Styela clava: one gene and its partners. The protein of the gene in region 1 purifies or fractionates together with the protein of each later gene. This does not show direct contact. Links are inferred from orthologs where the notes say so. Each region holds a gene or a part of one and is shown in the gene's direction. Other genes may lie near its edges. The genes, in order: regulator of nonsense transcripts 1-like, uncharacterized protein LOC120342158, 5'-3' exoribonuclease 1-like and interleukin enhancer-binding factor 2 homolog.

Region 1 (7,771 bases):
TTTAAATAGGATTCCAACCTATTTAGGCAGTTGGATTTAAAAATACTTTCCATATCAATCAGAATGACCAACCCGAACTGATAATCTTGATTCGACATACCACTTCGAGTGTCACCGCTATTTGTGTAACAACTTTACGTATGCGTTGCAACGAAAGCTTTTATACACACAATATCGCATCTAAATTTTATATGAGTGATCAAATTTATGATACGTTTTAGATTGTTCAGTGGTCAAGATTTTTATTATTTGTCAAATAAAAAAATTGTAAGCAATCGCTATCATTATCTCTGTTATCATTGAAATTGAATATTTCTTACATCAAAGGTCGCCTAACTAGTATTTCTTATTCATTTTTATTTATTTGTTAACTTGTCTCAGGTTCCAAGGTGAAATTGTTCATTAAATACCATAAGATTGATTCTGCATTATTTTAGCCTACCGCATGACAAAAATATTGAATCTGAGGGACCTCTTCACTGTGCGAACGAAATGGTTGACTCTCACAGTCGCATATATTCTATTGCGAATATCAGAATGCCTTAATCCACTTTTTTACAACCTGTCATCCCGGTAAGTTTTTTCTATGCTTAAAAAATAAAGCCATTCTGTAGAGTTCGAACGGACCAGATCAAGCCTAACCTGAAATTCAAAATTTTATCGGGGTAGAACATTATGATAGACTATCTAATTCTTAAAAGTGGTTATTTCCTGCATTCCTGGTATCACCTGACAAAAAGTTGCAGATCGCAAACAGTGTTTATATTTCTTACCATCCAATTTCGGCGGTTATGAATTAGCAGAATGAAATTGAAAACTAAATTTCTTATTCATACAGCCCACTGAGAAAAAGAACTAAACGTTTTCTGAAAATACAGAAAAACTACGAATCGTCAGACAGCATCAACGTATCAGAAACAAAAGAAGAAAATGTCAGAAAAACAAGCGTTACCGTTGTGTAAATTAAACACCACCGGATATAAGCTGGGTGTCAAATATGAAATGTACACGGGAGTCACAACCAACTCATATAACCCAGATATGGCGATAAGAATGTAGCCCTTTGATGAGATAGAATTGAATGTGAATGTATTATTCATTTTATAGCAATGTGTTGTTTATATGTCTTGTTCGTGTGTATATAATATATCTGCTTCGTCGAATTGACCCGAGTGTATATTCTTATGACTTATGAAAACACATCAGAAACTCTTAATTTCAGTGCAGGAATGAACGTACTAAAATATGATCAATACCGTAGCCAGCCAAATTCTTATTGTGGAAAAGGGGGCAAACTTTTGTCTTGTACAATGACGTAATACGAACAATGCTTACTCGTGTCTTTTGCTCAGAACAAGGCTAGATAAAGCAGCCACTGATATCTAACGATGTTTTGACTCTGCACAACCTTACTTCGCTGTCGAAGGTATCCAAGCTAGGTAAGCGTGAGTTTCATCTATCGCAGTTGGTTCATTTGGAGAATGAAATATTGATGGTGAGGAAACGTCGGGTTTTTGGCCAATCGTTCGAGATTAGAACAAACTGGTGTTGAAAAATACGTGGAATTGATGTCTCGGTGTAAATGCCACAAAATTGCGGTTCCCAAAGTAGAAGTCGCGAGCAGTAAAAATGGGTCGCATTACGGGGATTCAATCTGTCAAAACAAACTTTCTCTTTTCATTTTACAATGTATATATGTATGTATGTTTGTTTGCCTCAAAAATGTAACAATATTTGCATAATAATTAAACGGTATAACAGAGACGGGATACATGTTCAAGACCTTACTGGCCTAAGACACAGATGTGCGACATAGGATAGGATTTACATATTTATCCCGGGAGAGAGGAAAGTCGATAAGACGACTTAATCATAGTCCGAACCACGGTCTCTCGTCCGGTTACCATTTCAGGTCGGGTATGGGATTGGTTAGCCAGTTATTTGTTTTCGGAAGCATGGACTTGATGGCGGAGGAGGCGTAACGGACGAGCGGTTACGTGAACCACCCTACGGCGGCGAGGAGTCCAGCAATTCTCTCGCACATAATCATCCCCGCATGGGATTCGGACCTGCAAACCCACGCAAGGTAATCAGAGATGCGGTGGCAAGCGTATTCCTAACGCTTAGCACGATGCGCCACATTGCCGAGCCCATGTACCCCAACAAGTTCTTTCCATTTCATCATTATCGCAACATGTGGCTCCGAGCAGGTTTGAAGTTGATGGAAAAATGGCTTCTACAATACTGAAGGTTGCCGAGTGCCGACCCGTAGTTTATGCCAATAATTATTCATACCCTTCACCGGTTTTAGTCATTGACGTGTACGGCTTCAGCTAATTCTTAAGATTGTGATATTCCAAGAACTCCACAAGTCCATGCATCTGAAAACAAAAAATAACTGATTCCATAAACCACATGGACTGTTAACCGGACGAGATTCCATGATTCGCCATATGATTAAACCGTCTTATCGGCTTTCCTCTCCCCCAGGATAAATATGTAAATCTTATCCATTCATGGACTTCCATTTGTGACATAATTTTTTTCCCAGATGGTACATTTTGCGTCGTTTATACCTAACATTTAGAGACTGTGACCAGTAACTAAACTTAGGCTAGAAAGACATTGCAAATAATATTAATAAAGAAGAAGAAGACATTCGCATTCTAATAAAATGATGATGACATAATTGCGCTTTTCCATAATTCGCGATAACCCCCATAAAACCAGAAACGCCAGAAAAACTCATAACCCGCGGGCAATAAAACCACGGCTTGCTTACCTCGCCCTCGGCACGTGCTCTGTTATCATCAATCTATATTTCATTTATATAATTGTTGAATATGTAGTGATGTAATAAAAATGCATTGTGTCGTCATTGAGGCTATGCTAAATTTGAATTTTTCGAGTTATAAACAATTTCGAGTCTCAATCTCAAGTACGTTTCGTTCTTGCTCGAGAATGGTGAAGTCATTCAGCGTATGTTTATGGAAGTGTACTTGCGCAACATTCTAAACCTCGTTTACACATTGCGTTTACACCATATGATCATGCAGTTGGATACTCTTCCATTAGGTGGTGTTTTTTAGTTGGACATTCTGCTGATATTTGCCAGAAGGTTACGGAACTTCCCCCAGTTTGTCAGATTTAACGTTATCTGTTAAACTGCGACCGGTGCCTATGCGAGCAGAAACCCCTACTGAATTAGGTAGTACCGGTACCGATACAGAATTAGCCTACGCGATGTTTTTAGTAGCCTATCACTTGCGACCTGGGCATTGCAGAAGATAACAGACAATTCTGTTCAGATACCGTAACTTAGAGACAAATGCTGAAAGGCCGTTCAGATTTAGGATTGATCCACGGTCAGGCGGTGCTCCTGTCCTGTTTGTGTTCGAAAACACAGATAAACATTACCGGTATATTAGTGGTATTAGGCACAGTACTGTATGGGAGGAAATTGCTTGTTTATCAGTTTATAGACTATGTTTTGACATACAGCAGTACAGACACTTCTGCACTTAGTACAGTAAACGAATCTATAAATTGATCAGCTGTCATCATCTTTAATAAGCCAATTAATATTGAAATAATTAAACAAAAGTGCCAAAAAGATGCACACAATACCGGTACCAGTATCCTTCTCTTGCTGTCTTGATATGTAGACTATGTATGTTTATTGGGTCTTATTACTTACGGTACTGAATAGAGCGCAGAAGAGATGGGGAAACATTTTCTTTCATTGTTTATTAGCTTTCGTGAAATTTTAAACAATTTGATGGGAAGCAGTAGCGGTATACAGTAGTACTGTAGTAGGGAATGATCACGAGTTTATATCATTAATCTTCAACATCTTTAAATAGCCTCACATGACGCACCCTAACCTACTGCGTTCAGGTTGTGCGCTAGCTTGGTGCACATGAAAGAAAAATGTTTCCCTCTCTTCTGCGCTGTTTTTCACGCACTTTCCCTCTCTTCTGCGCTGTTTCGCGCTCTATTCAGTAAGTACGGTAGTGAGACCGATGTTTATTTGCCTCAAAAATGTAACAATATCTGCATGATAACTAAACAGTAACAGATAATTAAACAGAAACAAAATCTCAATAAATATCTATCACAAACAGCGAAGTTTCAGAATAGTCTATTTCCTTGAAGAAGTTGCCTAAAACTCAGAAAGTAAAGATAAAAGACACAGTTCTCCCATTACAGCATTACAGCATTACAAAATGTCCCTATATTTAATTATTTGGAATCCGGTACTTTATTTCAATAAAAAATAATACTCTATTAATAGTCTCTGAAATGAGGGCGTCTGGCACTGCGGCAGATCACGGCATGTATCTATAATAATTTAACATGCTTCAGCCGCCAAAATTCTACTGTAAAATTTTTTTCCTCCATTAAATCTGATTTTTTGTTTCGAGGAATCGAATGGTAACGTTTTTAAATCACGCTTCCTTCCATTTTATTGCGCGGTGTCTGTTTGCCAATAGGGAGGCCCAGACTTCCTCATAAAGAAGAAGTCTGCACTCACTTCATTAGTACAGTAGTATAATTGATGTCTGGATGTAGAGTCTATTCTTGGAATAGGAGAACTGTGTCGTACTATTACTCGAACATATTACTCACAAAGCTACATGTTTGACTATCGATGGGTCTAAATTAGACCAGGTTTATTACTGGGAAGAACTAGACTGTTATTCTTTCCCATTCTGGTTATTTAAACGTTGCCATAAATTAGTTCAGTAAAAATTTGAATTTGAATCAGATATATACAGATAAAACTGAAATTGTGAAATAGCGAGGACAGTTTCTGATTGTAATGAGCAGCGTTGATGCATATGGGCCAAGTTCCCAAACTCTGACATTTTTGGACACAGAAGATGGCGATTTGACTGTTGGAGGAGATACCCAGGTGAGAGACGCTTGTTTGAAATTATTTTAAATATATCAAAACAACCGGAATCAACTGCACTTCACCTCTCAGGACACAGTACAACTTGAAAATTATTTTGTAATTGGTTACGGTCTGAATCAAGTGGATGGGGTGCAACTTATAACTCTGATACAGTTATAGGCATAAATATATAATTATAGACATATTTATTCAAGTTTTAATAAAACTAATACTTTGCTACTGTGAGTTGCTCTTATCAATTCATTGATTTAATCATGATTTAACTGTGTTTTTAAATACAGAATTGCTTAAAGTAAAAATTGCTACAGTATCACAAAGTAATATTCAAAAAAATTCTGTTATTCAGGCAAGTGAATATGAGTTCACAGACTTCACAATTCCATCCCAAACCCAGACGCAAACTCAGACACAGCAAAGTCAAGCAAGCCAACTTGATATTGCAGAGAACAGTCAGAGTCAGGTAACTCTTTATTCCATTATAAGTCATATGCTAAAAGTATTTTAACATGGTAATAAGTTGGGAGAATTATAACCAGAAATGACTGTGTTAATCTTGAAACAATGATGAAGTTTGCCTACGACTTCATACAAGAATAATTTTTCATTCAATTCTGCTCTTTTGTTATAATTTGTGATTTTGTTTAGCATTGGCTTGACAATGTGAGTGATCTCGTTTATATTTCAATTCGACAGAGTCATATGCAAACGATATGTTTGACAACTGCGTACTCGTGTTTTATAATCATCAATGAGCAGTGAACATTATACCAATACTATCAGGACTGCTTCTGGTAGAAGAACTCGAAATCAATTTCTCAATCTTTTTTTTGTGATTTCTCTCAACTACGAATTATCTAGATCAGGGTTGTCAAACCCGCAGACCAAATATTATCAAGTTTTATCTCCATTAAGGTTGGTGATGTAGATGGAGTCAATCACAATGAAGAAGTGGGGGATGGTGAAGATATTGGTGGATTACAAGAACATATTCATGTTGCCACCCAGGGGGTTGCTGATCTGAGATTTGAGGAAGAAGACGAAGAAGATACTTATTATACTAAGGATCTTCCCGAACATGCTTGCAGGTGAATTTTTTATTAACAAGCACATGATTAAAAAATAATTGAATGCTCGGAGCTTTTATTATTATTTTATCTGTTTTTGTTTCCTGATTTCAAACAGTGGGGATAATTTTATGAAAAAATTTTGTTTGTCAAGCATAGGCCTCATAGCGCCTAGTAATATATTTAATAAAATGATAGAAGTTTATGTTACTTACACATATTTCTTAGCAGCAATATCTACTAAATTTTGTGCCTGTGCCTCCTATGTGAAGAGAAACGATCACCCTGAATTAATCATAAAATACTGCATTTTGACATGAGTTAAATTCAGTTCATTAGTTCAATTCTTGCCAAATAATGATTTGATTATGCATATAAGCTTTGTTATTATTATGTAGGGTCAGCCTGCAGTACTGTTTAAATTTCATCATACAGACTGTTCGGTACAGACAGATTTTTAAAATTCATGTAATTAGCTTAATACTCCTACTCAGTGAAATAAGGTGAAAGAGGTTGCTCAAACACATCTGGGGCTAATATGATTGACAAATCATTAAGCTTTCTACCTAGATGCTGCTTATTAAACCCGCTTTCTCGTATTTTCGCATCTGTTCAAATGAGAAATATGAAAATGAAAAATAAGTTGTGGCCATCCTTGAGGTGCTATGAGAAAAATTCCAGGCAATTTTCGAGACTGCTGTATAAAAAGAAGCCTTTCATATTTATTAATATCATCATTTATTATTAAACTCACCATCACTATTTTCCTGAATATATATTCATATAAGAATTAGGTATATATCAAAAGGTTTGTCGCATTAACAACTGTAATTTTTAGGTATTGTGGAATTCATGATCCTAACTGTGTTGTGATGTGTAATACAACAAAGAAATGGTTTTGCAATGGCCGTGGAAATACTTCAGGAAGGTAACATGATATTTTATAAAATTATTTTTTCTTCGAATCATTGATTTGCAAGGGTTAATTACTAATTTCTGGTTACCCTCAGCCGTTTTTTTTTTAAATTTCAGTATTTGCTTAATGCTCCAGTTCGATCGTGATTTAACATACCATATCATCCAGGTTTAATAATAGACACTTGAGCAATACTTCAAAATCACCATATTTGATATTTATATTTTGTAAGAAATAAAATTTACTTTGTTTTGTCCATCTCAATTTTTATTTGTACAATTTATTTTACAGTTGTCCTTACTACTAGAAAAATGTCATACACAATAATTGCAATCAATTAGTGATTTTGAATGAGTTATTATTTCAGATTCACAATTGTTATGTGCAATCTCTGTTATGGAGTATAGATTTATCAGCTTATTATATTGATTTTATGCTTACTTTTTGCATTAATAATCTGTTGAAAAGTAGATTAGTTATTCTAATCAAATATGATATGAACAAGCAATCAATTTTTTTACTCTGATATTGTTTGTATTTGTTTTCTCTGAAGCGAGTATTAAGTGATAAATTGATTCAGATATTTCGAGTCCATTTGAAATTTTTGGTGTGCTATGTTGCAAAATATTATGAGTTTGTCATCTTACCCTTTACTGTCTTTAATAAATTGATCAAATAATTAAGGTTAAATTCAGGTATATTATTTTGGCTGTATAAGGCAGTGCCAGGGAATAAACTATCCCTGTGTTCAAAGGATATTAATGGTTTGAACAAAATCCAAATCAAAGATATTTTATGTAGCCTACTTCAATACAAGGATTTATATTATTGAAATCCATTTTTTGTACTAAAATTTTAAATCAAAGGTATTTT
Region 2 (7,496 bases), on another chromosome or scaffold:
ATTTGTAATATTTCAAAGTATTTGAAAATCATTGCCTCTTTGTCATTATGAGCCTGAAATCGGCTTAGTTTTATCTGGCCTTTATTTCTATATTTGAAGAAATACTTACGTATGGTCCGAGCTGGGCAACTACTCATGTAACGTCGACCAATTGTGCAACGCGACCCGTTGACACCATGAACCACGTATACCATAAACGTCATTTAAATGCGCCATTCCGTTTTATGAATGCTATTTTATTAATTTTCCGCGGCTAATATTTGTCAGTTCGTTTGGAAAACGTTAACACTTACCAATCGAGGTTCCAATTATTTGCGCGATAAGAATCCTGTTCTTCCTGCGCTGCGTATTATAGCAGAGTCGCGCGTGTAGAATATACATTGAATTTGAAGCGCTACAATGTTTTTGCTTTTACAAAAGAAGGGAGGCTTGGAGGAGGCCCAGTCGGGAAGAAGTGATCAAAATACTGCAAATTTAGTTACTTTGAATATATTAAAAAATGAGAGCACTTCTAATCAGCCTATTGTTATATATATTGCATGGGTGGCGTTTTTTTCATTTTAAGCAAGATATATAAAGCACAAACAAAATAACATACCAATTTTTTTTTATTTTTGTTTTTGGGTACTGCTGACACTGTGGTTTACTACTGTTGTGGGCAAAAGAATACGTTTTCTCTCAGTTACCACTAAACTCTGTTTTCCTCTGTCACCTTTCTTTTGACACTCATTTTATGATGAATTGTTATGTTTGACTAATTTTATAACTTGTAGCGTCCGTGAGGTCTAGTGCTATTGTCAAAGAACAGCCAAGTCCGTCAAGTTGGGCTTTAGTAACCTACGTTAAAAAAACGGGATCGCGCGGCGCAAATTGATATATATATATATATATATATATGCGTTTTGTCACTGCTGTCATATGGCCCACGCTTGAAAATAGAGGTGTGTTTCACTAAAATAAAGGTACGAAACGTCTCTCCGGCAGATAAGGAGTTGCTTGACGCGAGTTGACATAACAAATCATTCTCCTTGGCTTCTACTACCTTTTATCTTATTGCTCCGCTCAATTTTCCTTTCACTTATCGCTCGATTATTTCGAAAAAAAACAAAGCGCGACGCTTTGACACGTACCGGTAATTCGCCTTGACGTTTATAGATACAATTTTGAAATTCGGGATTTCAACGAACCTAATTCCCCAATTGCAGTATAACAAAACATATCAACTTGGGTAAACGTGCATGAATTCGAACATCCATGACAATCACTCCTTCTACTTTTTAGTATCCATAAGTGCAGATTTCAGGATTTCACTCCAAAATGTGACGCATAACTAAATTAATGAAACAATCTCAGTTTCGTTCTTGAAGCAGTGTTAATTGGTCGTAGGCAAATGCTTTAAATTTTATTGATAAATCAAGCAGGGTGCCTTCCTTGATTTCTGCTATTAAAAATAACCACTCAAATTTATCGTATATTGTTTCGACCTGAATTGGATTTCAGGACTTGAGTAAACTCGGACTACAACCATTTCAATTGCCTTGTCTACTTTCTTACATATTCTGTTATTTATTCACTACTGCTTTTGCTTCAACAAAGTCCATACAACTTTCTACATCAAATATTAGTATATATGAACTGCCTCAGTGGTCAAAAATGAACGTGCTGTTTGGGGACAATGCCCAGTTTTTGGTTGTTAAATCGAAGTATTTCAACAATCATAGTACAGTGATACATCGTGTTTTGGATTCCGAATCAATAGCCCTGTATTCATTCAATGGAGCCGTCTTCAACGGTATGACATAGGTATTCTTGAACACTAGAGTTCATGAAAACAATCTGAAATTACATTGTTTTTGAAATTATAATGTCCAAAACTGTTGATTTAAATATGTAAATTCATGAATGCAGCGCCTCCACAGGATTATCATTTTTAAGGCGCTTAGCTTAGCAACATTTGGAATGAATATGGCTGGTAGCAGCAGTGCTGGTCATTAAAATTCTCGGAAAACCACCTATGATGCAATAATCTAGTTCTTACTAAGAAGAAGCTAAATAAAATACGAATGAGGCAATAATACACTCACTCATACACTGTATGCCGAAATGAAAAAAAACTGAAAAATGGAAAAAAAAAATTGTTTTGACAGACTTGAACCATCTTAATGCGACCCAATTTTACCGCTTGCGACCTATACTTTGGGAACCGCTGTGATGTGAATTATTAAAGAGTATTTGGCTCTATGCCTCCCTTTTTGTTAAATCCCAATGCTTCTGACAAGAACTGCTATAAGCTCGTTTGTTGCATTCCAAGAACATGGTACCAAATGTTCAATCCGGTGAAATGTTAATCAATATCATGGTAACCATTTTGATTCACGGGAGCCAGAGCTTCGAGAACAAAGAGCCGCATGTGGCTACGGAGTCGCAGGTTGCCGATCGCTGGTTTACAGCGTTGCTTATACTTCCAACCTAACTATATGCAGCGAATGCGCCCTTCTATCGCATAATAATCACATTCGTTTTGCCTATTTTGTGATCTGATAGTGAAGTTCACTCCAGCATTTCACGGATGTCTATAATAGACAATGAAGTGTGAATAAAATTAAAAATTATTTGCTCTGTCGCCGTCATCTAACAGAACTATCAGAAATACTACTTTATTATCCGGTTAACTGTCACGATAATATCAGATAGCAAAATACCTCTCGGGTAACCGGATATTCGTTATCCGGATAATCTGACGTTATGCTGGATCATCAGTGTGGATTTCTCGAATGAAAAAGTAATTACAAATTTTATGCATCGCTATAGATCTCGCTGCTACCATTGTATTTTTTAAACTGTTTTGTTAAAATTTGCAAGACTCACTCATATGCAGACATGAGACAAGAAGTAAATTAAAAATATTCTACTTCTACACTACACCAATCTACTGCCATGAAGAAATCGCTCAAACTGAAAGAACCAAAATGTTTAAAACCCAGTTTCTTAAAAATGTTTGATCGTAAATTAATTAGCCGAATATACTGTGATGCAGTAATATGCCAATAATGGAGAATGATGCCAAAATCTTATAATTGATTTAATTTTAAATAACTTGATTTCAGTAGTCGGAAAAATTAATATAGTTTCATAATGCTATCAATTTATCATGCTATCAAATGCAATAAAATGTTTATAAAGACATTGTAGTTTTGTTCTTCTCTGAACTTTATAGAATAGATTTGCTAGTTGTTCCTACCTGTATTCAATGCTCCATTATTGCAATATTAATTTTTGTACTACAGTAGGTAAAACTAAATTTTGGAAAATTGTATATAGCTCTTTTTTCTTACTTGGCAAGTTCATGATTCACATTCTCATTGATATTTATTTTGCCTTTTTTGTATCAGTCAAAATTATCTTCAGTGGTAGGTTGACCTTGCAGTCTTTGCCCGCCAATTATATTTTGTGCTTTTTTTCTTTGCAGTGTATAATTTCAATTGTTATGTATTCGGAAAGCAAGAGATCGAAAGACTGTTGGAAAACGAAGTTGTACGCTAATGCAAAGTGCAAACTGTCACAGTATTTTTCATACGTGAAAAATACTAACAAGGAAATGAACATGACCAAAACCAACGGCCGGCAAACAACTTGCCCAATGTTACCCAAGTTCATGTACGACATTTGTGCCATATTTGGGAAACGCGAAACAATGGAGTCTTATGGAAAATTTTTGTCGTGTTGTTGTACAGAACCGAATAAGTCAGCTATTAAAAGGGTTAGAATGAAGCCGAAGGGTGGACATAAACATTAAGCTTGATGCTACCTAAATATATGAAGCAATTAGAAATAAATAAAAAAGCTATACGTTAAATTTGGCCACAAACACAGAAACGCAAATGCAATAAAATGTCCAACAACCGGAACGCGGTTTCGTTGCGTTTCGACTACAGCTCCCCACTGAATGTAAATGTATTATAAATGTAATTTGGCAAACATAAAAGAATATCATCATGTTCGACTAAGATTCTACTTCAAAACGCGACCTTCAAAACATTTCTACCTAAAATATAAGTGAAAATAATTGGTATGTTTCAATAATTGTGTGCGAACTTTTCATAGGGCGCCTTGTTGGATGGCCGAGTATAATACGCACAAGATGGAATCCATTGTCTGAGCGTTGCCTCGCTTGTAATATATATACGCTTTGACCAAAACCAGCAACAACAACATAAAAAACAAAACGAATCATATCTACATTGGTGTCCAATAGATTATTATCTCTCCGTGTAAATTTCTCTAATTATCATAGTAAAATTTTGCCGAATTGGCTCATAGAGACTCATAGCACATCCGCGTCGTTTCAGGCTTTCAGCCACCAACAATCGTAAAGTTGTCGTTGTGTAGAAGCCTTTGGCACTGTTTCGACTTGAAGTCGATTTTGGGGTGTTCAATATAACATTGCTTACACAGATACAGGTATGTCACGCAGAAGGCGTCGTGAAGAAGATGTCAACGATTCGGAGGGCGAAGGTTTGGATGAAAAACCAGATGAGAAATCAATGAACGGCTCGGTAAGTACCGGTACCGTACCGATGGACCAGTGTGATTTGCAACAGCGGTACCGGCTCCTGGGCTAAGTGAATTCGTCAATATAATAAAAACTTAACTCTCGTCAGTTAAATACCTTTTAGTTTGTGGTCATGCGATGAAAAGAATAGTAAAGTCTGTAAGTAGTCTACTCAAACAGGAAAACAGTACCGGTATCAATGCGGATGATATTCGATGCTTCAGTTTTAAATTCTTGTAGTGAATGCAGGAATGGTATAATGAATGTCATATTTTGTAGCTATTTTAGTAAATCTGTATTTTTTACACTGGTTGAACTGAACTAAGTGAAACCTCAAAACAGTTGTGTTTTATTCCAGTACTGTATTCCGGGAATGATTTATTAATATAGATTGGTGATTTCTTTGGATTTATGATTTTCGTTGAATATCTTTTAACCATATTTTAGGAATCTGATATTGATGACGATGACCTCGACGTATCGGAATATGAAAGCGTAGATGAAGAGGTAGCTCATTATATTTAACAGTTATAATTGCATTAATCAACACACTTCACACATCAGCACATACCTATTTAAAGACATCAATTATAAGCATGAATACAAACTTCTACGTTGCGGGTCAGCCTGGCGGTGTGGTCCTTCCATGTTGCCACTATATGGCACACCGTTAAATATAAAGAAAGCTAATTTATTGTCAATTAAAATCAAAAATTTTTTAGAAAAAATTTATTCCACAGAAAAAATATTTTACTGTAGCATTCAAGAGTTTTAATTGAAAAAACAACAAATGGGAACAAATTTCATACACACAGATCACGAGATCTCACGCATCTGCTTTGGTGCCAGACGCCATATCTCGAGAGTATTTGTTTTATGTTTTATATATCTGAATATTGGAACATTCTTCGAGAACATGTGCTATAACAGGGCTTTTCAACTATTTTTATCGAAGGTCCGCAAACAAAACTTCAAAATTATTTGGGTCCGGTCTTCCAGAAATGATATTTCGGCATCCTTAAACGAGCACTTCCTCGACTGACTAATGATTAGTAGCAAATTAAAATTGTTCATTATGGTGTTATAGTTCTTTTCGTATATATTCAAAACTGTGAAAGTCATTTTATAATAGGAAATTCAAAAAGTGGGGCTAATGATCCAAAATAAATAATTAAGTGCGGTCCAAATCCAATACTCGAAAGGTCCGGATTCGGACCGCGGTCCGCCAGTTGAGTAGCCCTGTGCTATAACATGTATTAGAGAATCTATTATGTCATATTTTCCAAATATGAATTGGTTAGATGATTTCCAATCATTTTTTCCATCTAATTTTAGATATATTTTTCTGTAAATCATGAATGCCAAAGCGTTTCCAGACCGGGGCATGATTTTATAGTTTTCGGGAATTTTACTTTGTATTTTTATGTAGTAAGCCTTTTACTAACTTGTTTAGCTATTGTATTACATTCATATGGACAAATTATATGTAGGCCTACATGGAATTGTATAAAAGCCACAGAGGCTTGCGAGTATCAATAGAGAAGAACCTTATAAAACATAACAACAATTGTCGATTGGTAACAGAGTTTTTCTGTGTTTTGAGGGAAGAATGAGGAGTTTTATTAAAAATAGGCAAAGAGAGGAGTGTATCGAAAAAACTTCTCAACCACTCGATCTGTCTATTTGAATCTTAGACTGTTTAGAACAGGGGTTCCCAACCTGGGGTACTTGGATGGCAGTCGTGTTTTTGTGTTTTTTTTTTTTCAATGTCCTCTAACTGAGAAAAACTAAGTAACTACCAAAGGTAAATGTTTGCCAATTGAAACTCTGCATAGATTTTCCTGTATCTTGCGTTGTTGTGATTGTGACGCAACAATGTGAAATGCACGGCTTTGCAGCCAAACTGTGAAATCTCAGAAGACAATGTGCTGCGATCATTGCAGAAAGTGATATGCATATCGAAATTTGAAGAGGTTACAAGAATTCATTAGTTAGGCGTAGGACAAGGGTAATAACATTAACGCGAACAGTTAATTTAGTCACAGCAGTTGGTCAATAAATTGTCGTAGCAGCAAATTGTCAGACAATATATCACAACTTTGTTTGGTTTCTGATTACTGAGGGTTCGCGTTGATTGTTTCGTGACTCGGGGGGTAAAAAGGTTGAGAACTCCTGGTTTGGAAGAACCATGCGTCTTTTCTATTTTCGCTTTACTCGACCCGGGCTTTCTCTCTCGGTTTATATTAATATTGTTTTTTTTCCTATTTAGGCTCGGCATTCAATAGATGAAGAATTTGAAGAAGACGACCCTGGAGGAGAACAACCAGAAAATGATAACGAAAAAGTAAAGGAAGATCAAGGCAAAGAACATGAAAACATAGAAATAAAACGGGAAAATGAAGAAGTTTCTGAAACTATAAGAGAGAGTGGTGATGGAAAAGTACGTGTGGTTGTTTCTCAAACATTTAATCTATCTTTGGTTTGGGTTCAGAAATCAATAGCTTTGAATTTATTTTGACTAATACTAAACAGATGGTACTAGGACATTGTGTATTAAACTGCATGTCCTTTCATTGAACTGTAGGTTCTTTCTCCGGTACTCCCATAGTGTGTGTACCAGGATAGGATTAGGACATAATTTTATTCAGATTTTCCTTATTTCAGTTCTATTATAAGTTAGGGGACTGTCTGTGTTAGCCAAATGAATATACCAAACGCCCATAGGTTTCAATCCCTTTACACAACTTGAGGTAAAAAAGGCGAACAAAATTAGTTACCTCCATATTGGTACACGCACTTCTGGAGCGCCCTTTCTCCTTGTCTACCTCCTGCTTCGAATTCTTGTGTCCTTTGCCACAAGGATGCCCAAACAATATTCTATTAAAGTGATGAATAACGGATTTTTCCCACAAAATAGCCAGTATATTGTGAGCTTTCGTTAGAT
Region 3 (8,262 bases), on another chromosome or scaffold:
ATGTTTTAAACCATCGTTTTGATTGAAACCACTCAATAATCTGTTTTTTAAATGTAGCGGTAGAGAATTTTAGCCTAGTCCATCACAGCTATTTCTACACTAAATTTCGATTACTGCAATTAAACTAAAACTCCTGAGACTGTAATAATACAAAATGATTATTGTATTGAAAGATTTGATTCATACTTCTGTACCTAAATTTTCCAAACACAACTAAAAACTAACAAATAGAATTAAAAGATGCGAAAAACGGGGCAACGTTTACAACCACGCCTTGATGCGAAAAGGCCTATTGTTACGTCACTTTTTGCATGTTGCTGGTTGGCCAATGTTCCGAAGTAAATAAGGACAGTAAGGGAGTAGATACTCGGGGAAACATCCATTAGCCAATTTTTCTGAGACGATCGTAAAATAGAAAATATATTTTTGACATAAATAGTCCCAATGACCAGCTTACATGCAGTGTAAAAAAAACTTAATTGAATACCACAGTCTGACAGTACCGGTACCATGCTACCGGTACCGGTATGTGGTTCTTGAGAGCATAAAGTTGTTTGCTTTTTGCATGTACCACATGCACTTCTAGTTGGCCTGGCAGTGGCGCAATAAAGACCTCCAAAGTCGTCCAAAACGCGTAGACGATCACCCATAATCTAGCAAGCTATTTCTCTTGTTTTCTCGTCGCGACCAAAGTGATCCCGATATGAGAGAGACCACTGGCGTTAGTGAGTTCGTTATCGACGGCGCAGATGCTGTTTTGGGCGATCTTAGTTATAATTTGACAAGCTTTATAACGTGATTGTGACGTCGTAATGACGTAATTTTTGGATGACATAGTCAGGTGATGGTTAGGAATACGGTAACATATGCAAAATTCGTTACGCTACGACCACCGGAAGTACTTGTGGTACTAAACTATACTAGACTCCGTATGCCGGCTTGCAGGTCTGTTGTAGTGCTGAATGTATCTAGGGTTGCCAACCGTCCTTTATTTCAAAGGACAATCCTTTAATTACTGAATTAAGCTTTTCGGTCCTTGTCCTTTTTAGCATTTAGAAAAGATGCTGATTGTCCTTTATTCTTTCCAACGTCGTTTTGCCCGGAGGAGTAAAAATCGCCTCCGTTTATGTATTTGCAAGCTTTGAATTATTCTTTTTAATTTCGCTTTAGTCCGGCTCAAATAGCCAAATAAATAACAATTTTATTAACATTGTTTGGGCCAATGTTAAATACACATTAAATGAAAAACACATGAAGATTGCTTCAATATATCTTTTTAGCTTGTATATAATTCTTATTTCATTGTTTATATTGTACTTTCCTGCAAGTTACAAAATAAATGATGACGATAATTTATGTCCTTTATTGAAACTTTTCATAGTTGGCAACCCTAAATGTATCCCTTTTTTATGAGATCAGGAGATTGACTCAACCCAGCGAACTTTTTTGAAGTTACCACCTTCAGACATTGTGACACTGTTAGTGTTTTTCCCATTGTACTGTATTATTTAGGAGGCGCATGTTCACAAGCACTTACGTGGTAATTCGTAAAGGTTAGCACTTCATCAGTTACTTTTTTTCTGTTACTTTGCATATGTCTTAATTAACTGTTATGAAACTTTGAGGAAATTCAGAAATTATCTGTTAGCTCTCAATGAACCCTTATTTTTGCAAACAACTCCACTGTCAGACTATACTCCTATAAGCTTTGTCAGCTTTTATAACAGTGAAATCAATCAATCATTTTGGTTCTCTGACATAAACAATACAAAAAGTAAACAGACAAACAAAATGCAGAGATACTTTGGAGACGGGCATAACTTGAAAAAAGTTAAAAAGTGTACAATGTACATGCCCGCCCAGCAAAAAAGAATAGAACAACCACAGAAAAACGTGATTTACAATCGGGCAGTACTTTAAAAGCAAGTTAACAAAAACAGCAAATTGAAGTGAATAATTGAATGTAATAAACTTCTACCTTTTAAATTGAAATGTGCGACGTGTATGGGCTATGGGTGCCATGCCAAGTGACACTACAGGACAATTCCCAGAAATTTTGCACGTTGTTAGATGCAATATATTTTTACATTTTCAGCTACATGTTTTTGTTTCATTGTCCAATCAATTGCTTCATTGAATACTGGAATATGGAAAAAATTGCACAAAAGTTACACACGAGACTTACTAAAAAATACAGTAAAATATAGCGTGACACTAGAGGACGGAAAATCCACCATGGATTAACGTTACATTGTGTTGTGCTGTAAATTTTTGTGATGGCACGGCAGGAGCCCATAATATTTTCTGGTGCAGTAGCTGAAGGACCCCCCTATGTGTTGCTCAAGTTACTTAATGTAACACTGTAAATCTATGCCAATAATGTTCATCTTGTATGTGACACTGCAGGACGTGACATTACAAGACATTTTTCCACTTTGGAACAGCGGCCTCTATCATCTCTTAAAATCCTGGTAATAAATCGTTAAATGGGTGAGAAAAAGCCCTAGAGCACTGCAATCATTTAAACTTTGTTAACTTAAATCCAGTGCGTCTATTTCATATGAAATAACTGTATCACACAAACACTTTGTGTCAGGAATCATCACGAAATATGTCAATTATACCAGAATTTCTACATTTCAGGCCATTATTTTTATAAACTATCAAAAACCTGGGTGAAATTTCAACTTTTTCGGTGAAATGGATGCAGTCCATGAATTTCTAATGTTTTTTGATATAAAAAAATTCAAAAAAATTACTTTCACTAAACTTTAGAAAAATTTGATGAAATTCAACTTTTGCTTGGAATGGCCCGTATGTGTAACACAACAGTGCTTTTCCTACGAAAAACATGGAACAAAAAACACTTCCTGATGCAAAATGGTGGTGCTGTAGGCCTAGGTCAATTTCATTGCAAAAACAACACAGTGACAAAAAATTGTTCCTAAAAAAACAAGCTTGGTAAATAGATTGAATGTTCCATAGCAGTCTATGCACAAGTCATGGATTGGGGAATCGGGTTCTTTTGTCGTTTTCGATTAGTTCAATTTAAAATCATTGTATCCGTTCCAATGCATCCAACGTCAATATCAAATTTCCACGAACGACCACTACTCCAAAAGGTGCAGTGGTCCCATCTTTTCTGCGCTCCCTTCCATCATCAACAACCAGTTTCATAAAAGGATCGAAACCTCGCAATATACCCGTAACAGATCGTCCACCATTTAACTTTAAATCCAATCTTTTATTCATAAATCATGGCATTGTTCTGATATTGTTTGCTTGCAGAAATATTTTTCCATTTCTATTTGCTTCACAAAATTATTGTTAAATAATGAAATAAACAGTACACTATATTTTAGTATTTTGGCATATTCCAAGTATTCACTCTTACAATAGTCTGATAGTGGTACCGCCTTTATATCCAGATATATTATACAAGTAGATCTGGAGAATGTATTTAATCATTCCTTACTTGTTTAGTTAGCAAAATATTTTTTTAGTAATTAGAAAATAGATAATCATGGAAGAAGCATTAAACAAGTTCGAAACTATGGTTGGATCGGCAGAGAAGAAATTGGACAATATTGAAAAGAAAATTGATGCTGAGTTTTCTAAACATTTAAATTGTGAAGATGATGATGACGATGATGCCGAGAATAAATTATCTCTTTTGAAAAAATTAGAAGAAGTCAAAGCAGAATATTCAACCTTGTGTAAAGAAGCGGCAGAAGTGAGCACAGCGCAAAGACAGATGGCTGAAGCATTTCAACAAGAACTTTTAGCTCAAGTTAAGCAGTTACAAATGCTCCAAGATCGTGGTTTTACTGGATCTGATAGAAGATTAGATGGTGACGCAGAAGCTGCTGTAAATACTTTTGTTCAAAAATCTGATGGACAAGATAGTAGTTTAATGCAAAGTGCAAATGAAACACGATGATACAGGTTTTGTTAACAGCAAACTATAATATAGCTTTGATAATAATGCACTTGGATCATTAAAATGTATCTCATTGTCACAAGACTGTCAAAGTAAAATGGAACGAAGATCTGGTGATATGCCTTGTACTGTTGTATGATAAGAGTTACATAGTACACTGCCAATAGAATAAAAAGTTCACTGAAGTCCTAAAATCCCTATGTAATTCGTGGATAAACTTCTATTTTACATGACATACGGTAAATGGATATTATCCACAAAAATGTACAATACAGTATATTTTATCAGTTATATGATAAAGTTAATATTGCATATTATGACAGAGAAACAATAACTACTGAACGTTTTCGAAGTGAATTCAAAATATTGTCAAAAGTAATTGATACGTTCTATGTTGGAACAATTTGTGAGATATATTTAGTTTTAAACTTAACTTCTATTATTGAATTATTGATAGTTTTCATGTAGTGGACTATTACGGTAATTGCTTCTCGCATATACTTTGGAGATCCAAACTCCATCTATACACTGTACAGACATCTGTACCCCAATACAGGAATTCCAAGAATAGTAAGATGGCCTTCTAAGCTACACTTTTGGGTATTATCAAATAATTTGAAATATTAATAATAGTCAATATATAGAAGTCTAATTTCATCAAGGTTTCAAGTTTGTGGTTGTTTGGAAATCTTACCTTTCATGATTTTTTCTTTTTGGCGTAGTAGCTATATACAAAGCTTTTATGAAGTGCTTTAACACTTCACACTTGATGTCAATTATCAACATTTACTGTAGTCTGTGTTATGTTCATGGACATCATTTTTGTCATAGGCACTATTGTGTTCACAGAGATATGTGAGATATGGGTGAGGCTCAATTCAATTGTTATCTGTGTTTTGTAACTGACAGTCGACAAAAATTTGAAGGTCATATTAAATTTCTTGAAACGCTGAACTTTTAGTCATGGTTATTTCAACATTCAATAAATGCCGGTTTTGTGTGTTTTTTTAACTACTTTCACTTATTTTTCATGATATTCATGAAGCGTTGGGTTTTACATTTTGTAATCAAACTAGGCTTTGATGACGAGAACATGGGTGTTTCCAAGTTTTATCGATGGATCAGTGTTGGATGTTATTTTTGTCATAGGCGCTATTGTGTTCACAGAGATATGTGAGATATGGGTGAGGCTCAATTCAATTGTTATCTGTGTTTTGTAACTGATAGTCGACAAAAATTTGAAGGTCATATTAAATTTCTTGAAACGCTAAACTTTTAGTCATGGTTATTTCAACATTCAATAAATGCCGGTTTTGTGTGTTTTTTTACCTACTTTTACTTATTTTCATGATATTCATGAAGCGTTAGGTTTTATATTTTGTAATCATATTAGGCTTTGATAACTAGAACATGGGTGTTCCCAAGTTTTATCGATGGATCAGTGAAAGATATCCGTGCCTCAGTGAAGTGGTGAAAGAATATCAGGTTTATTGCTATTAAGTTACTTATTATGATACTATGTTCAAATTTTCAAACTGCTATAGGAATAGCATATTGCCGTTGTCCAATAATATTGTGATGTATTAATATCAAAATCATGGTTTATCTTGTTGTGAATCAGAGAGTGACACAAAATAATATTGTAATAGCGTTTTGAAAAATAGATTTTTGGATTCACGCTGTGTCCTTGGTTAGAAAAATGCTAGCTAGTTGTCTATCTAGATCAGGAGTGTGCAACCTTTAATACAGGAGGGCCAGATACAAATAACTTGGTGAAACTGCGGGCTGCACCTGTATTTGACATAGGCTTTCTAGTAGTTGCAGGCACAAAATTCTTGATTATCTGATCTCATGACATGCGAACTACAAACTAGCTGTTAGTGCACTGTAACGTCATATGCTGGGCGTTGCAGCGCAAAGGGATTGGAATTACTTGCACTCACCAGATTAAACTAAATTAAAACTCGTTTCTCTGACCGCACATCATTCAAAATTGGAACTTCTCTGCGAGCCGCACAAGTTTTCCTTGTGGTCCGCAGGTTGCACACCCCTGATCTAAATCAATAGAATCTATTTGTTTGGATTATCCAATATGTATATTGATTCACTATTTGAATTTATTATTTTAGGTTCCAGAGTTTGACAATCTGTATTTGGATATGAATGGTATCATTCATGTTTGTTCACATCCAAATGATGATGATCCTCATTTTCGAATTACCGAAGAGCAAATCTTTAAAGATATATTTCACTATATAGAGGTACTTGCTGTGCAAATTCTTTACTTCAAAGTTCATTGTTTATTTCAGTCTGTATGATTGCGATGTCTACTATATTTGATATATAGCACATAGTATAATCTTAAAAAAGCGTCTAAAATGAGCAATTAACGTAGGATATGTTGACCAAAAAAGGGTTCTCTCCACTTTTTATAACCGTGTGTTGTTTTAAATAAAAACTCAATATAATTTTCTGTATTTTGACGAAATTTCTTTCTCTAAACTTGACCATATTCGGAAATATTCAAAATTTTCATACATAGACTTTATTCAAAACATATTTTATAGTATGGTGTTTACCAGCAAGCCTGCCATATGGACAGTGCCTTAAACTTCTTGACATTGGCTAGCTTTAAAAATAGAGATTGACAGAAAATGCTTTTGTATTAAAATTTCAATAAAAATCCTTTCAAAATTTCATGTATGTACAGGTTTTATTTCGTATTGTTCGTCCAAGAAAAGTGTTTTTCATGGCAGTCGATGGTGTCGCTCCACGTGCAAAAATGAACCAACAAAGAGGCAGAAGATTTAGGTTGCACAAATTATTCATGTTTACAATGTTTTTTTCTTTATTGCAAGTAATCCATGTAACCGTGTAACATTTGTTCAAGCAGAAGTTGTGTTGTATTACAGTGCTGCCATGTCCAAAACAAATAGAATATTTTTGATTACATTCAAAGCACACAGAGAAAACAATGACCTTTTATATTTGTGTCGTTTTAGATGTGATCAACAATGTAATTTCCGACATAAACTTTCCCCAATTTAGAATGTAGTCGATATTTCATATTCAGAAGTCATTTCTCTGAATGTATTCGAAATAGTAAAATATTCGGTTTTAGCCATCCCTGGCACTAACTCTTCCTGTCTGGTAGTCAGCATGGTCACAAAGAATCTATCTATATCAGTGGTTCGCAACTTTTTTCGATACATTCCTCTTTTTGCCTAGTCTGGCTAGGTTGCACAGTTTGAATAGGCTTTATAGTTTGTTCATAATTATGGATTACAAGGATATTGAATGAATGAACAATACTAGTAAAACTACATCGAATACAAAGTAATATTTTTGTATCTCCTTCCCGAAAACAACAAAAATTTCTCCCTGGAGATGAATTCTTTCTCGGCTGGGAAACACTGGGCGGGCTAAATAGTAGCTGATTTTATCTAATCATACTCTTTATTGGTATAGTGCTGACATGGGCAAACTACAGCCCGCAGGCCAAATCCGTTGGGTAATTTAATCCTGCCTGCCTGATGCTGCCACAACCAAACTAAAACCAAATTTTGATGTTTTAGCTAAAGATGAACTCAAGAAATTTGGTGAAATTTCGATTACATTTAGTTTTGGCACAAGCCCTATTGTTTTCCACATTTGCTTTTGTAACACTGTAAATATTGTTCATAAAATGTAACTTTTTACGTCACACTTAAGTGGCTCGTCAGTGTTGGTGAGCAAATATTTTGCCCCCCGGTCCAAAAACGTTGCCCACCCCTGGTATAGTGTGTTTAGGGAAAATTCAACTTATCAACTCTACAAGTTTCTCTATAAACTGAATGCTATACCTCTTTGACAAATCAGATCAGCCAAAGAAGCAGAAGAAAATATTCAAAAGGCATTGAAAAAGGGTGAAGTCCTACCTGATGCCAAAAGATTTGATTCAAATTGCATTACACCTGGTACTAAATTTATGGTTAAACTTCAAGAGCAACTTGAATATATGGTGAAGAGCAAAGTGACTACAGACCCAGCATGGCAAGGAATCAGGATTTATCTGTCTGGTCATGAGGTGTGTTGAAAATCAGAATTATCATATTTAAATTATGAATAATCTTTGTGGGTGCTCTTTATTGTGAAGGGTTGCCATGGCACGATACACATCTCTGGTTCAAATTCCATGACCACCATCTGATCCGGGGAAAGCTTTCGGTCTTTCCAAAAATAATAGCTCCTCACTAACGTTAGATATCGGTGGATGCTTGCACAGGGCATTTTTCAGAGGGAAACGAGTGAATATCTATGTTTGAAAATGTTACTAGATGTCA
Region 4 (8,174 bases), on another chromosome or scaffold:
TGAATATTCCCGTTTTTGAAGAAATACCGTTCACAAGCAACAAGAAATATATGACATTGGAAGGCATAGAGAGTGAGGGATAAATGCTAATTGGAGTGCTTAGTATCAGCAATAGTGTCAGCATCAGCATTTCTCTGATTACAGGGAATTAATAAAAATAGAAGAAAGAACACCAATGTTAAATTATAAATTACAATAGTTTTTCATTCTGCTTTTAAGAAAATTACAAGCAGGACATTCATGAGAAAACATGCAAATGTTAGTGAACCATGCATGTTTATTCATACATGCGCGCAAGAAAGAAGTTATAAACGGAAATAAAGGGTGACCGTACATTTGAACCCATGTACATTTGAACCCATGCGTATATCCACGGGTTCAATCTACATGCGGGTGCTAAAACCCATGGGTTAGGGTTAGTATGGGTTTAACTATCCGTGAAACAAAAAAAATTCCATAGGTGCAATAGCATACAGGTGCAATTGTCATGGGTTCAAATGTACGTGGGTTCAAATGTAATGGAACCGAAATAAAGAGATGACATTGTGAGATAACATGAAGCACATAATTTGAGATGACATGATGCTATAAAGATATCGGGTATAAATGCAAAATGGGAAATCCTACATCATTTACAGTAAGGTTCAAAATGTGAACACAAAAATTGGGATATCCAACCAATAAAAAATTATTACATTTTGAGAAATTAATTTATAATATTTTATAATAATGAAAGCATATAACACCAGTATATCATATTGATTCGAAATGTTGTCACACAATTACATGTGTTTCCATGCATAGTTTGGCATATTAAAACATGAACTTAACCAAAGGACTTAGTAAATGCTAGGACATTATCTGGGGGAAGACATATTCATATTTTCACTGCAAGCTTTCAAGATTACACACTGAAAACTATTGCTACAGAAAGTAATCAGGAAGTTCATTATAGAATATATATAACAGCATATGCACCCACCCACATAAATAACAAGTTTATCTTATAACAAGAACAAAATAACACAGTATGGAGTAGTAGCAGAGAAATTTAGCAGAGTTATTTTAGGATTGCAGACAATGCATTAGTACAAAGTGGTTATGATTCATGAATGAAAATCACATCTTATTGATTGACTTCAAAACAAACAAGGACTAGACAAAGTATATAATATCGTGTACACAAATGCTACAGTCCCCATAAATAGTGTTTAATAATTGGCAAAAAATACTGAAAGCAAATTAAAACATAATTCTGTATCTTGGAAAAATGTAATCTCAAACAAATACAATTTAGTATGTTGCACGTTATTGGAAGAAAAAAATAAATATTTGGAATTTGTGTACACAAGTTGAAGTCAGTGACATTAATTTGAACAGTAGCACAAATAGAGCTATTAGGTTATTAAACGACGCTTCCGTAGTATGTGCACTGAGATGGCGTAAAACCTGATAACCCTAACCTAGTACACATACTATGTTCAGGCTGTGTGCCATCTTGGTGCACTTGCTGGGACGGGATGCACACACGGGAGCACCTATTAAACATATAAAGGTATTCAATCTCAGCGATTGTGTGATCTCAGTGATTTTAGGTAGGGTTAGGAACTGACTTTTATGAGAATGTCTTCAAGACACGAAAATGGAAATCACAAAAGTAAGTGAGATTGCATACTAGTGGCAAGTCGAAATGATAAAATATTTGTGGAAGTAAAGGATCAGACCAGGAGAATGCACTCTTTCAAATGTTTGTGTAAATAAAATGATAACTATAGGGCTGACTATGTGCTATTAGGTGAAATCTATGAAAAAGTTGATCTGTCATAAAAATGTTTAGATTAGCTGGATGGATAACCTTGGATGCAACAATTGGAATACAGTTTGCATAAAAAACAGTAGCAATAAATAAACTATAAAACAAGATTAACAATGAGAGTGATTTTTATGATTGATCCAAGTTACATTAACAAAAATAGGAAAATTATTTTAATAGAAGCAATTATGGCAAATAAACAACTCTTACTAACATATGGATTAGCAAACATACACTAAAGTTTAATGTTTTATATGCCTTTTACAAATAACAAGTTTAGGTCTGATTTCTCATTTAACATTTGCCTTATAAGCTAAAATGCTGAATAAATATTAAATATTACTAGATTAGAATGGTTCCTTTATGAAATTTGAACATAATCATATTCAAAGAACTAGTGAAATACTACACGAAGCTATTGTGTTAGAAAGTATCTTCAATACATTTTTGTACCAGGGTAAAGTTACTATAACAAAATAGGAACCTCTATCAGCTGAACGATTATTATCTCTTTTTAATGAATTGTCCGAAGCAATGATCAGCAATGATACCAAATCTGAACTGAAACGTAAGTTTCAGCACTTCAAATTCATAAACATTCTCAAGTTTCAGAATATTTGCAGATTGAACCAATACACAGTGGAGTATGTGAGCCGGTCATCAACTTCAAAACACAGTTTTGAAGTACAGAGATAGTTTTGGAGATAAAACTATATTAAGTCCCATGTCACAATTCATTTGTGGGCATGTAGTGGACATATGGATCGTTTTGTTATTATGTTGTTGTTCTTTGACACATATTGAAAAACCGCTTTTCTTGTTGATTACTGGACGAATTGCTTTGAAATTTTCAATGGTTTAAGATTGATTTGCCGGAAGGCTATTACTTTCATATATTTCCAATATTTCTGAGAGCTGCATGGAATTCATTTCTTTTGTGCTATGACCTCATCAAAAATTGCCACCATGTGGCGGTTCATTGTGCGAGCGAGTCACGAGGTCAGCGAACATTGGTGCTTCTAGTGTTTAGCGAACCGTCAAAGGTAAGCTTGTCTACTGCTTCGCTCAGGCTGCGTGTCCATATATTTGAGCATCGCTCTCTTGTTGAAAGTGCAAACTATAAAGTTCTTGATCCCCTTTCTGGCACAAATAGACTCACTTCAGTCATTGCAGAAATATCCCTAAAGACTAGATAACCTTAATCTTCATATCTGAAATTATATCAAAATACTTGACAGAGTTTCAAGTAGTCATTATAGACTTAATGTCATTTACGATCAAATTTTATAATGGAATTGGAAGTTCGGGCTTTTAGTGACTTTTACTACAGTTAATTAACATGATATGTGTCTCGCTCGGATTAACGATAGGATCTATCTAGGTACATATCTATCCCAGGAGAGAGATAATGGACCAGATGGTGGAGGAAGCTGTAACCGACCAGCGGTTATGTGAACCACCCAACTGCGACGAGGAGTCCAGTAATCCTCTCGCACATAACCATGGGGTGACGAGCGTATTCCTAACGATCTCCACATTTAAACCTGCGAACCTACACAGACTGACATAGTGTAAGTAATAAGAGGTGCGATGCCAAGCTTATTCCGCTTACAGGCTTAGCACGAAGAGCCACACCACTGCTAATTTGAAGTTAGACAATTCCTGAATTCAGCAATTAAATATACCGGTATCAAATAGTTAGAATGCATATTAACATTTTGCTTAGGTCTGCGGAGTTCACTCAAACAGTCAAATGTCTTTAGCAGTTTCACTTTTTAGTTTATCGCTTGCTCCACACAATGCTGCAATGTTACTGGTAGGCTACCAGTCCCAATTTGACATACCGTGTTCGTGCCTACATCTTGCCACACAATAATTCTACCGCGAAGGCATACCGGTAGTCCGATGATACGGTACCGGTAGTCTACCGTTACCATAGTAATTAAAAGTCCAAGTCTGGTAACTCTGGCATATGCAGATACATTCAGGCTACATCATGCTAAACTTAAGAACCTTAAAATGTTCGTACGGTACCGGTATACGGTACGGTAACACTGACACCATGCCCTTCACTTTCTCAAACGTCGCCATCCCTAATCTGCCAACACAATTCGACCGCATTTTGCCATCCCTGATCTGCCACTACGCTTCGACCGCATTTTGCCATCCCTAATCTGCCACCACGCTTCGACCGCATTTTGCCATCCCTAATCTGCCACCATTCGACCGCATTTTGCCATCCCTAATCTGCCACGCTTCGACCGCATTTCGCCATCCCCAATATGACTTTTCGACCCTATTTTGCCATCCCTAATCTGCCACCTTTCGACCGTATTTTGCCATCCCTATTCTGCCATCCCCAATATGACTTTTATGCTACCACCACTATAGGGACAACTAGTGTCACCTCTTTTTTTTACTAAACTAATGCGACAGGTCAAAGGTTATGACTGTCGATACGTTACCATCACGCGTGATCAACTTCTGCATTGAGTTGCCACATTTGAAAAATATCACGAAACGTTTTCTATGTAAAACCTTGACGTTATGAAATATATATATATACTGCAAAAAATTAGCCGAAGCAATAATTCTATTCGAGAATTATATTAGTGAATGAATAAAAAAAAATTGTTGCCATAATTTCTGTACATTTATTTATTATTTCACTGGATGACTTCCCGTAGTCTCGATTTCTCCTTTGATCCGCGCTTGTTGCTAAAGTTGGTGGCCGCTAATGTAGAATATTACGTGAACTAAAGGCGTAATTAGGCGTCTATTGAAAAATTAATTTCTCACTCTCGAATGAGATGCGCTAGGGCTATTGCTAACAGTACCATAGCCCACCAGAGTACCGATACCTGGATACGGTACGATAGCTTTCAAGAATTCTACCCTATTGAATTTGTGTATAGGTAGTTCACGGTATTCTGGTACCGGTATTCCTGTACCGGTATTTGGTTCCAGAGTCCAATAAATTAGCTACCGTTACCAATGCCGGTCATACAATTTCATGATTTTTTCTCAATCCTATGATTTCAAATCTGAAAAGTCTAGGAATTTAAATATAAAATTTTCTAAATTAACTTGACAAAACATCAAAATGAGAGGTCGAGGAGGACGTGGACGGGGTGGAATGCATCGTGGAACAAACAGAGTGTTTGTGCCTCACATTCCATTTGATTTTGTGATGTGTGAACAAGCTTTCCCAAGAGTGAAGCCAGCACCTGATGACGAAGCTTTTACCCAGGTCAGTACGGCACACTTTACAGATCGAGAGTCATTGTCTCGTTTTAGAGAATTCCATTCTGTTGATGAGCAAACACCCTCTTTTCGGGGACGTCAGGAGATCGTTTTTTATCAATATCGGTAAAAATATATCATATTAGGCGTGGCGGTGTGGCTCAACGGGCTAAGCGTTAGGAATACGCTCGCCACCGCACCTCTAATTACTCTACGTGGGTTCGCAGGTTTGAATCCCATGTAGGGATGGTTATGTGCGAGAGGATTGCTGGACTCCTCGCCGTCGTTGGGTGGTTCACGTAATCGCTGGTCGGTTACGGCTTCCTCCACCACCAAGTCCATGCTCCCGAAAACGAAATAATATAACTTTTCCGATACCCAACTTGGAATGGTAACCGGACGAGAGGCCGTGGTTCGCCATATGGATAAGCCGTCTTATCGGCTTTCCTCTCCCCTGGGATAAATATGTAAATCCTATCCTAATGAGGTTGCACTAATCTAAATGCCCCGATTTAGATTGTTATCGAGACGAGCATGGTGCAATAAGACGCATCTGCCGTCATGCCATATGCTCCTCGTCTCTGAGACTCGTGGACTGTTTGTTTTTTTAAATCAAATAACTCGTATCATTCATCCTCAGTTTTAATATATAAATATTTTTTTATCATAAAATGCTTACTGTTTTTTCTTCGATATGGGGAGTCTAATTCAACATTTTTTTTTACCTAATAATCATAACATTTCTGAATCGTTATTTCCACTATTCTAATTTTTCAATACAGGAATTTCTATTTTGAAAGCCTGTTTTATCAAAAATTTGATATCTATCATATTATTTCAAACAGTAATTATTTTTAACTCACTTTCCTACAGGCTCTAATAAAACGAAACCAAGACTTGAACGTGACTTCGGAAGAGCAAGCGTCAATACTGTCGTTCGTGACTAAAATATGCAATGCAATCGATTCCATCATTGTATCACAGCCTGCTGGGTTTGATATTCAAGTTGATGAATGCAGACAAGTAAGTTTTGTTAAGTTCTTGGGCTACTATCGTGTTTCCACGAAATTGAGACGGGGTATTATTTTAATTTTCTCTCGAAAAATAACAATAGGGCTTATTTGGGGAGATGTATTTTACTTTCATCTATCAGAAACAAAATTATGAAGTAGAGAATTACGAGATTTTCCATCTCTTTTTTAAACAAAATTCTGGACAAGCGTCACTCACTCGGAACTATTATTTTTTTTTGATTTGAGTGACTTTTCTGAATCCCCAACTGAGCTATGTATGCTTTATCAATATTTTAGTCAGGGACAGAGTTGTATTTTTAAACTCATTATATTCAGAGCCAGGGGAGATGCGTCGGACTGGACTTGCTAGCTGTTATAGTCTTATGTTGGCAATTAGAAATTTTGGATAATAATAAATTTTTAAATGTTCAAGTTTCAAATCTTAGTATAGTGTAGATTTCTCCTACTTTCTTTTTGAATAAGTATATTTCTTTTCAGCCATAGCTCATTATTTTATTCTTTCATAGGTCGGAGACTTCAAGAAAGGAACAATGACAAAAGGCAACAACTTAGCTGAAGTTGTCATTATTCTGAAAACTTTACCAACGAAAGAGATTGTCAAACAACTAGCAGAAAAGGTTAACAATTTTCTTATTATGAAAGAACTGTTTCCACTCTGAACAAAACATTGTGAAAGTTGGCACTATTATGTTAAAAGCTATTTTGAATATCATTTTGATGAGGATTATACAACATTTTTGTAGGTGGGCCATATAACTTCAGACATCTAGCTGTGTTAAAGTTTTTCTCATACCAAATCGTTTTATGCACCTCCGTTTTAAACAAACTTCACTGTTACACATGAATTTACTGATTCTAAAGTCCTTTTCTTTCTGGTCAGACATTACATTCCAAATTTATTAACTAGATTACCTTTATTATTCTAGATTTTAACTTGTGATGCAACCAACCTAATAGATCGGAAATAAATAGTTTGGAATTGGGACCAAAATATACAACTTTTATGTAGATTGAATATCTTTATATTAATAGATCTTTCTCTGTAGTGCAATGGTTACCACGTTCGCTTTACACATGGAAGATCCCCGGTTCGAGCTCAGGCGGCAAACAAGCAATCTTCTTATATTGCTTTATATTTCAAGACTATTCTAACTAAGAAACAGTTTGTCATGTAATATTATTTCTCTGTGACATGGGCGAGGCCACGGTTTGCCATATATTAGGCGCTTTTGTTGTCCTACCTCGTTTAGGTTAAACACAAAAATTTGGAATATCAGATTTATTTATTCAAAACGTTGACTGGTATCCAGTTGAGAGACGGGGCTTCATCATTTTAGTAGAGTCATCTTACTGGTTTTCCCCTCTCTTTTTCTCTAAATAAAAATGGAAATCTTATCACAGAATAATAAAATTTTGCATGTTTCTGAATATAACCATGACATTCGTAAAATACTGAATGTTGTGCAATGAACATGCACATAAATCAACTTTGCTAATTTAGGAAACTCTTGTCAAGTGTTACAAGCGTTTTAAAGGCACGGCAATACAATTACTCAAAAAGTTTATAGGGTGTCCGTAAAGTTCTAAAATTTATAAAATTGCAAACGGAATTTATCGATGCTATACATTGTTTTGGCCCTCACAGATGTATTGAATAAAGTAAAAATACCTAAACAATTACTGATTAAAAGACAACAAACCTGGTTGAGATATATTGAGACCTGTTTTCATAGCAAAATACAAAGGGACTTTATGGACACCCTGTATTTCATAGTAGTTTTGATTTTAGTCATACGAAATGTAACAAAATAAAATTTGTGAAAATGTGATATTAGACTTTTGAACCACTCTCCACTGATAGAGGAGTTGCATGTTTTCTTGCAAAAGATCCTAAGTCTTCAACTAAATGTGAGAAGCATACTGGAAAGTTGAAACTACTTAATGGTTTTATATCACTGCGGCCTGCTGGCCGAATGTGACCCGCACAGAAAAATTATGCAGCCCGTGGAGAAGTGCTAAATTTCAATTATGAGGTGTGGCCTGTGATACGAGTTTTCAATTTTATTTAATCTGCTAAAAGTAAT

The links.
Region 2: the proteins of regulator of nonsense transcripts 1-like (region 1) and uncharacterized protein LOC120342158 purify together in Homo sapiens (co-immunoprecipitation; 5 studies listed by BioGRID and IntAct, with this or other methods). This does not show direct contact. The link is inferred for Styela clava from reciprocal best matches to the Homo sapiens genes UPF1 and CASC3.
Region 3: the proteins of regulator of nonsense transcripts 1-like (region 1) and 5'-3' exoribonuclease 1-like purify together in Homo sapiens (affinity purification with western blotting; 4 studies listed by BioGRID and IntAct, with this or other methods). This does not show direct contact. The link is inferred for Styela clava from reciprocal best matches to the Homo sapiens genes UPF1 and XRN1.
Region 4: the proteins of regulator of nonsense transcripts 1-like (region 1) and interleukin enhancer-binding factor 2 homolog purify together in Homo sapiens (affinity purification with mass spectrometry; 3 studies listed by BioGRID and IntAct, counting the BioPlex papers as one, with this or other methods). This does not show direct contact. The link is inferred for Styela clava from reciprocal best matches to the Homo sapiens genes UPF1 and ILF2.

What each region holds. Positions count from the first base shown.
Region 1 is NC_135257.1:5,899,400-5,907,170, reverse strand, and holds the start of regulator of nonsense transcripts 1-like, read left to right. Parts: upstream 1-4,747; 5' UTR 4,748-4,822; coding exon 4,823-4,915; intron 4,916-5,264; coding exon 5,265-5,378; intron 5,379-5,830; coding exon 5,831-6,003; intron 6,004-6,820; coding exon 6,821-6,910; intron 6,911-7,771. Other genes in the region: growth hormone secretagogue receptor type 1-like, read left to right, coding at 438-573, 879-1,059. UniProt on the Homo sapiens protein: RNA-dependent helicase required for nonsense-mediated decay (NMD) of aberrant mRNAs containing premature stop codons and modulates the expression level of normal mRNAs.
Region 2 is NC_135252.1:6,798,781-6,806,276, forward strand, and holds the start of uncharacterized protein LOC120342158, read left to right. Parts: upstream 1-4,363; 5' UTR 4,364-4,463; coding exon 4,464-4,556; intron 4,557-4,999; coding exon 5,000-5,059; intron 5,060-6,821; coding exon 6,822-6,992; intron 6,993-7,496. UniProt on the Homo sapiens protein: Required for pre-mRNA splicing as component of the spliceosome. Core component of the splicing-dependent multiprotein exon junction complex (EJC) deposited at splice junctions on mRNAs.
Region 3 is NC_135252.1:5,380,749-5,389,010, forward strand, and holds the start of 5'-3' exoribonuclease 1-like, read left to right. Parts: upstream 1-5,130; 5' UTR 5,131-5,350; coding exon 5,351-5,425; intron 5,426-6,069; coding exon 6,070-6,201; intron 6,202-6,650; coding exon 6,651-6,751; intron 6,752-7,798; coding exon 7,799-8,006; intron 8,007-8,262. Other genes in the region: uncharacterized protein LOC144420883, read left to right, coding at 3,524-3,940. UniProt on the Homo sapiens protein: Major 5'-3' exoribonuclease involved in mRNA decay. Required for the 5'-3'-processing of the G4 tetraplex-containing DNA and RNA substrates. The kinetic of hydrolysis is faster for G4 RNA tetraplex than for G4 DNA tetraplex and monomeric RNA tetraplex.
Region 4 is NC_135255.1:20,622,881-20,631,054, reverse strand, and holds the start of interleukin enhancer-binding factor 2 homolog, read left to right. Parts: upstream 1-4,824; 5' UTR 4,825-4,916; coding exon 4,917-5,063; intron 5,064-5,929; coding exon 5,930-6,079; intron 6,080-6,596; coding exon 6,597-6,707; intron 6,708-8,174. UniProt on the Homo sapiens protein: Chromatin-interacting protein that forms a stable heterodimer with interleukin enhancer-binding factor 3/ILF3 and plays a role in several biological processes including transcription, innate immunity or cell growth.